Linked DNA regions of Coturnix japonica. The protein of the gene in region 2 interacts with the protein of the main gene of each other region in a biochemical or structural test. Links are inferred from orthologs where the notes say so. Each region holds a gene or a part of one and is shown on either strand. Other genes may lie near its edges. The genes, in order: BRF1, RB1 and MAPK14.

The links.
Region 1: the proteins of RB1 (region 2) and BRF1 form a complex in vitro, tested with the Homo sapiens proteins (2 studies listed by BioGRID). The link is inferred for Coturnix japonica from reciprocal best matches to the Homo sapiens genes RB1 and BRF1.
Region 3: of the proteins of RB1 (region 2) and MAPK14, one has a biochemical effect on the other in vitro, tested with the Homo sapiens proteins (3 studies listed by BioGRID and IntAct). The link is inferred for Coturnix japonica from reciprocal best matches to the Homo sapiens genes RB1 and MAPK14.

Annotation. Positions count from the first base shown.
Region 1 is NC_029520.1:47,935,693-47,939,341, reverse strand, and holds part of BRF1 (transcription factor IIIB 90 kDa subunit), read left to right. Parts: intron 1-1,296; coding exon 1,297-1,553; intron 1,554-3,649.
Region 2 is NC_029516.1:151,078,191-151,081,839, forward strand, and holds part of RB1 (retinoblastoma-associated protein), read left to right. Parts: intron 1-794; coding exon 795-908; intron 909-998; coding exon 999-1,165; intron 1,166-1,910; coding exon 1,911-1,941; intron 1,942-2,411; coding exon 2,412-2,554; intron 2,555-3,153; coding exon 3,154-3,203; intron 3,204-3,527; exon of another isoform or gene 3,528-3,589; intron 3,590-3,649. UniProt on the Homo sapiens protein: Tumor suppressor that is a key regulator of the G1/S transition of the cell cycle. The hypophosphorylated form binds transcription regulators of the E2F family, preventing transcription of E2F-responsive genes.
Region 3 is NC_029541.1:520,533-524,281, forward strand, and holds the start of MAPK14 (mitogen-activated protein kinase 14), read left to right. Parts: upstream 1-1,252; 5' UTR 1,253-1,381; coding exon 1,382-1,497; intron 1,498-3,749. UniProt on the Homo sapiens protein: Serine/threonine kinase which acts as an essential component of the MAP kinase signal transduction pathway.

The DNA.
Region 1 (3,649 bases), on a different chromosome or scaffold from region 2:
AGCAGCTTAAAGCAACCTAATTGGCCGTATATTCACAATTTACAGCATTAGTGTTTTTTGTAATTGAGCAAGTGACAAGTCAAATCTTCCACATGCAACTAAAATCCATGTTCGTTTTTAATGTGTGTATCTTGTATCTTTCTTTTCTGCCTAATGTGAAAGACAGAGTTTCCCACTTCCCCTAGGTATTTCAATAGCAAAAACAAAACCAGACAATGAAACACTGTTTTATGCTTCAGAGTCCCTCATTCATGCCGCCCTTCCAGGGCCGTGGAATTCTACCAGCAATTTTCAGAACTCTATAACTCTCTGGCACTGAGAAGCAGCCCAAACAACCCACCTTTTTGTTCTGACAACACAGGAGTTTTTCTCGAGCTGTATTGTTTCTGACAGCTCGAGTAGAACTTGATTAATATAGTGCTTTCCAATTTCAAGGTAGCACTTGACCCATGTAGGTAAACAGAGGGGCTATTATACATTAAAAAATAAATCTCCTGCGGAGCTTGGTGTTAAAAACTTCCTTTGAAAAGGAAAAGGTTGAATGAGAAACAGAAGACTTTTTTTGTGTGTTCCTAGCTAGGCATTGGTCCCAGACAGAAGTGTTCCCTGGTGTCATTTCTCTTTGTCTGGGTCTGTGCAGCATCAAACTGCTGCATAGTGTTAGCACTGGGCTTGCAGTGCTTGGCCGAGGGAGGTTGTCTCTCTCTGTGGGCAGGTGATGTTGCTGCAGCATCCTGCTTCCTCCCCAACACCATTATTGCTTAGAAAGCTGCTGCTAATTGCTAATTTTCTCCACTTCTTTCCATTCTGAGGAAGAGTTGGATGTGCAGCTTTCAGGCTTCATACAAAATGCTGCTGTCAGTGCCTAGGGGAGTGCCCCAGCTTGACTCTCACTTGGAAGGTAGTTTTAACAGAGGAATTTATTTGCATGCTGGGTGATGTTATCAAGGTCCCTGTTCCTGTAACGGGAGCTCTCTCCATTTTTTTTTTTCACATGTGAGAAATGGCCCACGTTGCTTTTCTGGCAGCGGTACAAATGTGCAGTCAAGAATTTGTAATAAACTGCGTGGGCATTTGGCAAAAATGGGAAAGCCTACACTGAATTCTTGTAGAAAAAGAAGTTTCTTAGCCTTAGTCCTCCCCCAGGCCATAGAGTGCTGACCTGGCTCTGCCCCATCGCCTATCCTGTCCCCGAGTCGCCAACACCTGTGCAGGGACTGCTGAGCTACAGGTCCCCCTTCTGCTACACAACCATTTTGTTTGTCTCTACATCACTAATTTTATATTTTAATTAAGCCAAAGAAAGCTGCAAAGAAGCGGGAGCCAATTCAAGCCAGCACAGCAGGAGAGGCAATTGAAAAGATGTTAGAACAGAAGAAAATCTCAAGTAAAATTAATTATAATGTGCTAAGGGACCTGAACAGCAAAGGAAGTAACACACCAAAGAAAGAGGATGACAGCACTGATGACAGCACCAACACCAAGAAGCTGTCAAGAAGAAAATCTATTGCCAGTAGGAATATAGCCAGCCCTGTAAACAGTGTGGGAAAAAGGTACCGCAATTGTTCATTTCTATCTCTGTCTGTGAGACTGTCTATGTATCTTTCTGAGCCAGACAATGTAGGTACTGAAACATTTGTCTGAGGCTAAAATAATGCTGGGCTCTTGTTTTTATTTATTTTGCCTGCAGTGTCACAGTGGAAACTTATTTATAGTTCTCGTATCAAAGGTCTGTTTTAGTGTGAGTTAATCATTCTGGAGGAGAAGAAAAAAAAAAATCAATGGAAATTCATAAACATCAATCTTTGGGCCACGAACAGCTTTTCTTCATATATCCCTGACATTTGGTGTCCTCCCTTTCTGGGTTGTCTGTATCTGCTGACATGACACTAAATGCTCGAAAGCTTTGGCTTTTTGCTTCATTTGAAAAATACAGTTCCCATCTGTTATGACAGCTAAGCTGTTTTGATTAGCTTTTATTTTAGTTTTGTTCCAAACTTTTGTTGTTAATTGGTGACACAAATATAAAGCTTTACAGTAAATATGCTTGTCGGTTTTCTGGTCTGCATTTGCAAATGTTTTATAGTGTGATGAAAGCTACTATTTTAATGTGCAAAATATTCAGACTTGCTGGGCAGATTTGTGGTGTGCTGTAATGTGTAGAAGGAGATGGATGTGTCCTATCTGCAATATTCAACTGTTTTATTAGCCTGCAGTTCATGAAATCATGTCGGATGATCATTTGGATGATCTCTCTCTATAGTGGTTTCTTATTTAGTTGCTAGATATTAATTTACTGCCTAAAAGATGTTTTTTGCTTCCAAGGCCATACACCACCAGGAAATCCAGACATTTAATATAGAAATGCTAGATGGTGTCTTCATACTGTTGTTTGGAGAGTGAAGGGCAGGGGGTGGATGGAGGGAGCAGAGGAGAGCTGGGGTTGGTGATGGCACTGCTTGCAGCAGCACTGGAGTGGGCAGAGCTCATGGGAGGGGGCTCAGGGCTGTCAGAAGTGAGAATGAGGAAGGAGCTGCAGCTGGAGGTGCTTCAGATATGATATTTTCCCTTCCTAAATAAAGCAGCTCTGGGGAGAAAAAGGCAACCAGAAGGTGTGAGAATTCATCTATTGGCAAAAGGAGTGAGGATGTAGCAAACCTGTGGAGGTAAAGCTGGGTGGGCTGGTATGGACATGGCCATACACAAACCTATTACTATGAACTGGTTTGCACTTGGGCAATTACATTGGCTTTGGCCAATGCTTTTAACTTCTCAGCCAGAATTGTGTCTACCTTCACTGTCACTGGGATACAGATTTTTGCAATGTAACAAATGTCTTTTGTTTTTCTGCTCTTCCTTCTTTATTCTGTGTTTTATCAAAATGGCTTCATCCTCATTCAGCTCCTCACCTCTCTAACACCAACAGCTTTCCAATTCATTCAGTGAGGATTTTAGTTTCCTATGTAAGTTGCTACTTCAGGTCATGTTTAATGACCTAAATACACATATTTTCTAATAGAAGGAAAGTGAAGATGGATTCAGGATTATCTCACAGCATTGGCTTATGGGTTTTTTTGTATTTAACAGGCATAGTGAGTCATATTTCTGCAATTTTTAGTGAAGCACAGCTCTGATACAGTTAGCAAGAATGGAATGCTGTGATGGGCAGTATGGGCTTGTGAGGGACCCATTGCTTTTCAGGACTTAGCAGTAATATGAGCACCTGAGATGCTTCAGCACATCCATCCATGTCCCTTTGAGGTCTGCCTTTCTGCAGCACTGGGCACTTGGAGCTCCTGTTGAAGCCAGCAAGTTAAACCCTTAACAGGTGTTAAACTCTTTGGAAAATCATGCCATAAATATTTGATTTAACAGTGGTGCAACTTGAAAAGGTCTCTAAATAAATACACAAATCAGTATTTTCCAAAAGCAGCTAATAAAATGTGTTTATTTTTCCACTTGAGTGCCTAAAGTACGTCCTTAAGATGCATAACAGTTTCCTGATGATGATTAGCAGATCTTAGATACAATGAATTTTGCAGCAGAGCACTTGAGAGAAGGTTGGTGATACATGCAGATACGTGGTTAAGATTTTGCACTCCAGAAGTAGGCAGCATTCCTGATTAAATAATATCAAGGACTTGGCAAA
Region 2 (3,649 bases):
TCATAATATTCTGGGGAGATCTCATGGTGGCCTTCCAGTACTTGAAGGGAGCTTGTAAAGAGGAAGGGAAACAGCTGTTTACGAGGGTGGATAGTGATAGGACAAGGGGAATAGTTTTAAAGGGAGACTGGAGATTTAGGTTAGAGATTAGGAGGAGGTTTTTCACACAGAGGGTGGTGACGCACTGGAACAGGTTGCCCAAGGAGGCTGTGGATGCCCCATCCCTGCAGGCATTCAAGGCCAGGCTGGATGTGGCTCTGGGCAGCCTGGGCTGGTGGTTGGCGACCCTACACACAGCAGAGGGGTTGAAACTGGATGATCTTTGTGGTCCTTTTCAACCCAGGCCACTCTATTATTGCATGTATTTGCCCTGGAGAGTAGAAAATTAGTTCTAATACTAAGTGTCTCTGTAAGCATCTTGCAAAATAGTAAATATCTCACAGCAATTGTTTGTTAGCTTTCAGAAAGCAAATTTCCTCCTGCCCTATTAATTAAAGATACCAAGTAACAGTTCATTATTCTATTTGGAAACTAGATGAGAAGTTAAGGTGTAGTACTGATAGGATTTTTCAAAAGCAACTTAAATTCCTTTAAGAACTACTTAACTTTCCTGGAATATTGAGGGGGAATAGACAGGTTACTTACTTCAGCTGTCATCAGTAAAAAAAATGGTCATGTGTCAAACAGGTACATCAATGGAGAGGCCTATTACAGTTGCAGGCTTGATTCTAACATGAAGTACCTTATTAAGGTGCTTACAAATGAAATAACTTAATTTTTATTTCTCACTGCAGACTTTCAAACGTGTTCTTATCAGGGAAGAGCAGTACGACTCCATTATAGTCTTCTACAACTTAGTGTTCATGCAGAAACTGAAGACAAACATCCTGCAGTATGCCTCCAACAGGGTAAAGTGTTAGTTGTATCCAGGACTGTTCATTTAATAGAATAGGAATTTATAGACAGTAAAACCTTCTGATGCTGTTGTTATTTTCTAGCCTCCTACGCTGTCACCTATCCCACACATTCCTCGCAGCCCCTACCAGTTCTCCAATTCTCCTCGGCGTGTCCCTGCAGGCAATAACATCTACATCTCACCCTTGAAGAGCCCTTACAAATTCTCTGATGGGTTTCAATCTCCCACAAAGATGACTCCAAGGTCCAGGTACGTTGGTTATAAACATCTCACTGAGTGAAGTGAAGTGAAGTGAAGTGAAGTGAAGTGAAGTGAAGTGAAGTGAAGTGAAGTGAAGTGAAGTGAAGTGAAGTGAAGTGAAGTGACTGGGAGTTCACTGCAAGCAAGTTAGCAAACTGTGGTGTGTAGTTCATTAATAGTCTGTGGTTAGTTTATCTTTTATGGTTAAAGTTTGTGTCCTGTATCTGGTCCCTTCCAACCTAAGCCATTCTATGATTCAAACTGGCCACTGGCTCTTAGCAGAGGATGACAGCAGATGAATCATGTTATCTTTAAACAGCATTTCCATCTCAGTATTGAAAAGCCCGTGCAAATCTGTAGTGGGCTTTTCCAACTAGGAAATGCTATCGGATGTTTTAGGTTGACGTCTTGCGTGGGTTTGATTAGCAAACATCCAAAAGAAATGATTAAGGGCTGATTATCAGGTCCTCAGCATTTCCTGTTGATAAGGGTTGCATTGTGTGGACCTTTCATTCTTCCAAGACACAGCTTTTCATGTATCGGTGTGGGATGGCAGATTTGGCAATTAGGCTTTCACCGGTCCTAATGGAAATGTGAATAATCTGAATACAGCAAAGCACAGTCTGGGTTTGCACTGTTAAAGAGGAGAACACTTCATTAATGCCTTAAGAAAATCTGTGCAAGTTAATAGATGCTTCTCTGTCTTGCTGTGGAGGGCGGCTTGACTGAAATGCTTGTTTTCTTCCTTTGGCAGAATTCTGGTGTCGATTGGTGAAACGTTTGGGGTGAGTTTTACAGTTCTTATTGTCTGCTCTTGAATGCGTGGTGTTGGAGCCACGGCGTAGCCTGCTGGTAGCCAGAGAGCTGGCTCATGGTTCCCATCTAATATAGTCATTTTATGGAATTTGTAAGCACAAAGATTACAGGGATGTCCTGTTCACCTCTTTCAGTTATCCAGGCTTAGCTTTTAAAAAGTTTAGCATTCTATTTCAGTTGTTGTGGAAGGAGGTTCCTCCCTGGAAGCATTCAACGCCAGGCTGGATGGGGCTGTGAGCAACCTGGTCTACAGGGAGGTGTCCCTGCCTACAGCAGGGGGTTGGAACTGGATGATCTTAAAGGTCCCTTCCAACCCAAACCACTCTATGATTCTAAGGTTAGAGTTCTTAGATTGTAACGTTGTAGTGGATCATTGGGGAAGTTTGAGTAGTTTCAGGATTTATTCACTAACTCTTTAACTATTTTCTTGTGATTTCAGACTTCTGAAAAGTTTCAAAAAATAAACCAGATGGTGTGCAACAGTGAGAGCCACGTAAAGCGCGGTGCAGAGCCCAGCGATGCCCCTAAGCCACTGAAGAGGCTGCGCTTCGATATAGAAGGGCAGGACGAGGCAGATGGAGGGTAGGAGACTGATGGTGGCTTTCTGCTCAACTGCTTCAGGAGTGGTTTTGTGGGGCCTCCAGAATGCATCCTAACTTCTGTTTGAGGGTGGTGATGCACTGGAACAGGTTGCCCAAGGGGTTGTGGATGCCCCATCCCTGCAGGCATTCAAGGCCAGGCTGGATGTGGCTCTGGGCAGCCTGGTCTGGTGGTTGGTGACCCTGCACATAGCAGGGGGTTGAAACTGGATGATCATTGTGGCCCTTTTCAACCCAGACCATTCTATGATCCTGTGATTCTGTTTATTTCTGAACTTCCATAAATACGTTACATGAGGGACGGTAGCAAAATACTTAATTGGGCATTTGGTGTTTAAAGCAAGGATTCATTCAGTGCCTCATACCCAGGTATTTCTGCTAAAGGCTAAATTGTACTGCAGTCTTAAAAAATATTATTTTAGAAGTATGAGAAATGAAACATCTCTTGAGTGTGCTGTGGTGGAAAACACAATTTGTATTTTTATAAGATGAGGCAGTAGCAATGAAATGAACTAGCTGTGATTTGTGTGTTGCTGTTGTTTGTTTTTAACATCCCTTTAATCAAATGCTTTCTGTCTGCAGCAAACACCTACCCCAGGAGTCCAAGTTCCAACAGAAGCTTGCAGAAATGAGTGAGTATTACTCTTCTAGTAACTCCTCAGCACTGAGTACCTTGCATAGAACACTTTGTGTCAACTCAGACAAAAACATCGTTCAACACCACTGTCATTTCAGTGCTTACTTTTTTTGTACTTGCTCCACTGAAACACAAATGATTAAATTAAAACCCTCCAAAGCATCTTTGGTGCTGTTAAATGGCAGAGAGGCACAGAAGTGCTAGAAAATGAGCACGACATGTTCATCCTTAATACCAGGATTCTTGAAAGGGAATTAAATGATTTGCTGTGCTCTGGGGTGTGGCACTGCTCAGCCCATGGGGACTGGAGCAGCACAGCGCTCGCTTTGGTAGAACATATACTAAAATTGGAATGATACAGAGAAGATTAGCATGGCCCCTAATTTGGGTGAGACCACATGACACATGCATGGCATCCAGGGGATCAGGCCCAGCCAGCAC
Region 3 (3,749 bases), on a different chromosome or scaffold from region 2:
TTGACAGAGGGAAAAAAAGGAAAATGAGAAGCATGAAAAGGCAGTAAGTGAGCAGAAAGTCATCAAAACGCAGTATAAGTAACAAAACCTGGAGGGAAATAAATAAATATGTTTCCTGAATGGTTGGGATCCCTTTGTACAAGTCTGGCGTTTCACATCACTGAGATACACCACTTCTAATAGAGGAGCCTGGCAGCCTCCAGGCACAGCCACCAGCACACACAGCCCAGTCATTCTAACAGCAGCAGGCAGCCCGCAGGCACGTTCGATTCCTAGTGAATGGTTTGTTCCTCTTTTTAAAAAGGAGATACACAAAGGCCTTCCAGAGTTTAAGAGACGTTTTGTTCATGAGCTCTGCACACCCAGTACAAGCTGCTGTTTGAGCAAAATCACCTTTTTTCAAGTGAAGGTAACACAACAAAAAAAGTTAAAAAGAAACTTGAGTTCCAGCTGTACCAGCTCAGCTCCCCAAGCTCTGTGAGACCCCCAGAGGGAACGGGGCTTGGCCTTACTGAGGGCTGTGGCAGTTCAGCCCAGGCCTGCTGCCTTAGGTCATCGTTCTCATCAATGTGCATATTTTGCTTAAAGTACAGCGTCAAGGTGACAAGACAAAGCCTCGCGAAAACGGCACACGGACTGTGGCGCCGTGACATCTCCCTGCGTGAGCACAACCCCCTCACACACCGCACTCGTGGAACACTTGAACGCAGCGAGCCCGCCTCTCGCCTCGGCCCGTTCTCGCGAGAGCCCCTCCGCGCCGCTCCGCATTGCCTCCATATTGGGGCATCTCTGCCCACGGCGCCTCAACTCTCGCGAGAACGTCTGGACTGAACCCTAGGGCCGCAGTGGGGAGCGGGGAGGCGGAGCGGCCGGGTCGGCCCAGCCCGAGCTGCTCCGCTGGGGGCGGGACGGGGCCGGGGCCTCGTCTTTGCCGTCCTACCTGCGGCCGAGTGCCTCCCCCCGGCCTTCCCTATCGGCCGATCCCTCCCTCACCTGACAGGGCAACCCACCCCTCGCCGTGCGGAGGGAGAGAGAAAGGGAGAGCTGTGTGTGCGGGGAGGGGGAGGCGGCGGCTGAGAGGAGGGGACCGGGGAAGGAGCAACCGCCCCGCGCGAGGGCTGGGCCCGGGCAACGTGAGGCGGGGGGGCGCGGGGCGGCGGCCAACGGTCGGTGTGAGGAGAGGGCGGTGTGAAGGGGCGGCGTGGGAGGAGCGAGGCGGGGAGAAGGGAGGAAGGAAGAAGGGAGGGGAGGAGGAAGGAAGGAAGGAGGGAGGGAGGGAAGGAGGGAGGGAGCTCTGCTGCTGCAGCTGGAGGTGCTGCCGCAGCCGCGGGCACCGCCGCCCCCTCCCGCCGGGCCGGGCGGGGTGGGCTCCGCAGCCGAGATGTCTCAGGAGCGGCCCAAGTTTTACCGCCAGGAGCTCAACAAGACGGTGTGGGAGGTGCCCGAGCGCTACCAAAACCTCTCCCCGGTCGGGTCCGGGGCCTACGGCTCCGTCTGGTGAGTGGCGGCTGGGGGTGACTCCGGGCCGGGTTCTTCCCCGGGCACCGCTCGGCCCCGGGCGCCGCTCCGCGCCGTTCTCCCTCCGCCGCAGCCGGCAGCCCCGAGCATTGCAGCATAGGGCAGGTGGCACCGGGACATTTTTGCAGGGGAAGATAATCGCGTCCCAGCCCCCGGCGTGATCTCATTTGGGCATATTTCGCGGTGCCTTCTCGCAGTTGGGAGGTGGGGGTGGAGAGGATGCGGGCTGGCAAGGCCCCGAGCTCCGCAGAGCTCTGCTGGCTCAGTTTCCTTCTCGACCCGGAGGATGGATTATGAGCCGGGGGCTGCAGGGAGCTGCTGCGTCCCCGACGCCTGGCAGGGGCTGCAAGAGCCATTTTAGCGGCTGTGTGCGGTGAGCGCGGCGTGCGCTGCCTGCAGGAGCAAAGCCTGGGGTCAGCGTGCGGGAATAAGGAGAGCTCGGAGCTGTGCTCGGTTTTTAATGCTTGCCTCGTTGCATCGCGTGCACCGCTTGGGATTTCTCTGCAAAAATGTATTGGATCGTGAAATGTAAATCAGTGGGGCTGATGACATCGCTTAATCGTAAAGATGAGGTTGTGTCTGGATTGACGTTCCGACTTGAGCAGTCGCTTAGAGGTTTATATAGCAGCATAGGCTGCTAAACGATGTTTTTTGCTCTGTCAGTGTGATCCGAGTTCTCATACGGGTGTGTAACAACTGTACATCTGTTCTGCTTCTGTCTCGGAGCAGGCGTGCCTATTTTTTTCGTTAACATAATGTACAAGTTTATACCATGACTGTCATTTATATTTTAAGGAGCAATGCATGCTGACCTCTATCAGAAAAAGGAGTTGCTTTGTGTGTGCTGCAGTTTTAAAGAAGTCAAGTTCTCTCCTGTTCTGCTGTCAGGAACCTCTGCTGAAATAACACGTTTCTTAAAACTGCCGTGTCCCAAGTATGTAAATGCTTGTATGTCATAGAAGACAGAGCCTAACCAGTTACAGTACCACGGGTAGCCAGTATATCTTCTGATTTAGTCAGTTTTTTAATAATTAAAGGGTTTAGTTCTGGTGAAAGAAAGGGCTCAGTGCCCCAGCTGATAAATGCCCCTTTAGCTGCTGTGGTTACATAACTCCCTCGGTGCAATAGGAAGTGGATTTACTCCATATCTGCTGTATTCAGGCCGGCCTTATGCAGTGCATGCAGCCCGTTCCTCTTCTGTTCTCCACCTACCCATGGTCTGTTGTGTACTTAATGCTTCCAATGTTTGTTTTCACAACCAATTACTGAAGACTTTGCATCATGAATTTCCTGTAATGCTGCCTCCGAACTTTCAAAGATTGTGCAACTGTGTTCGGCCTGGATGGATCAGCTCTGCTTTGGAAGCAATTTCAGATGTACGGCATGTGCATCTTAGCATAGCTTTTTTCAGGGTTTTCTTTGTGTCCTACCAAAAACATCTTTCTGAAGAAGTACTGCTCAGACAGACAAGTAATAGTGTGCATGTATAATTAACTTCGTAATGTAAAGCTCCAGACAGTGATGTGTGGCATTGAGGGCATTCCTAGCATGGCTTGTTCCACTCTTTTCCTTTAGAGAGATTCTTCCCTCTTCCTTCTCCTGCTCTGGGAAGATGTTCCTGTCTTTGTTTCAGACTTGGAGTTTGAAGTGCCCTCTGTTTTGGGACAGCGAACTGCAGGGCTTTAATCAGCCTTAAACAGAGTGCATAAATACACTCCTGTATGTCTACAGCACTGTTAGATTAGAACATAATGATACACTTTATTTAGGTGTCCAGATGAGAGATATAAAAAGGGGGACTTTCTAGAAAGTGGAGGAAAAATTAACAAAAGAATTAAGCCTGCAAATGAATCAATTAGACTGTGCAGTGTCTGCTGCAGTCTGCTTTAAATGTCCATCTCAACTTGGAGCACCGTGGTAGAAAGTCCTGACTGAAGTTTTTGCAGTCAGTGGATGGAGAATGTTGTTCTATGCAGGCAGCCAGAGCGTGTCCTTAGTGTTGGAGTAAGTGTTCTTGTGTCTTCTGGTGCACGGTGAGGATGTTCAAACAGCCAGCTCAGGTATTTTTCAGTTTTTTTGTTTTGTTTTTTTTTAACTGAAAATATGTGGAAATTAAAGTAGGGCTTTGGTGCTAAAATGCCGAGAAATGTCTATATGGACTCTCAGATCATTCATCACTAAGCCATGTTAACAATTGCAGTGACATCTGTTGTGTGAAGTGATAATGCCTT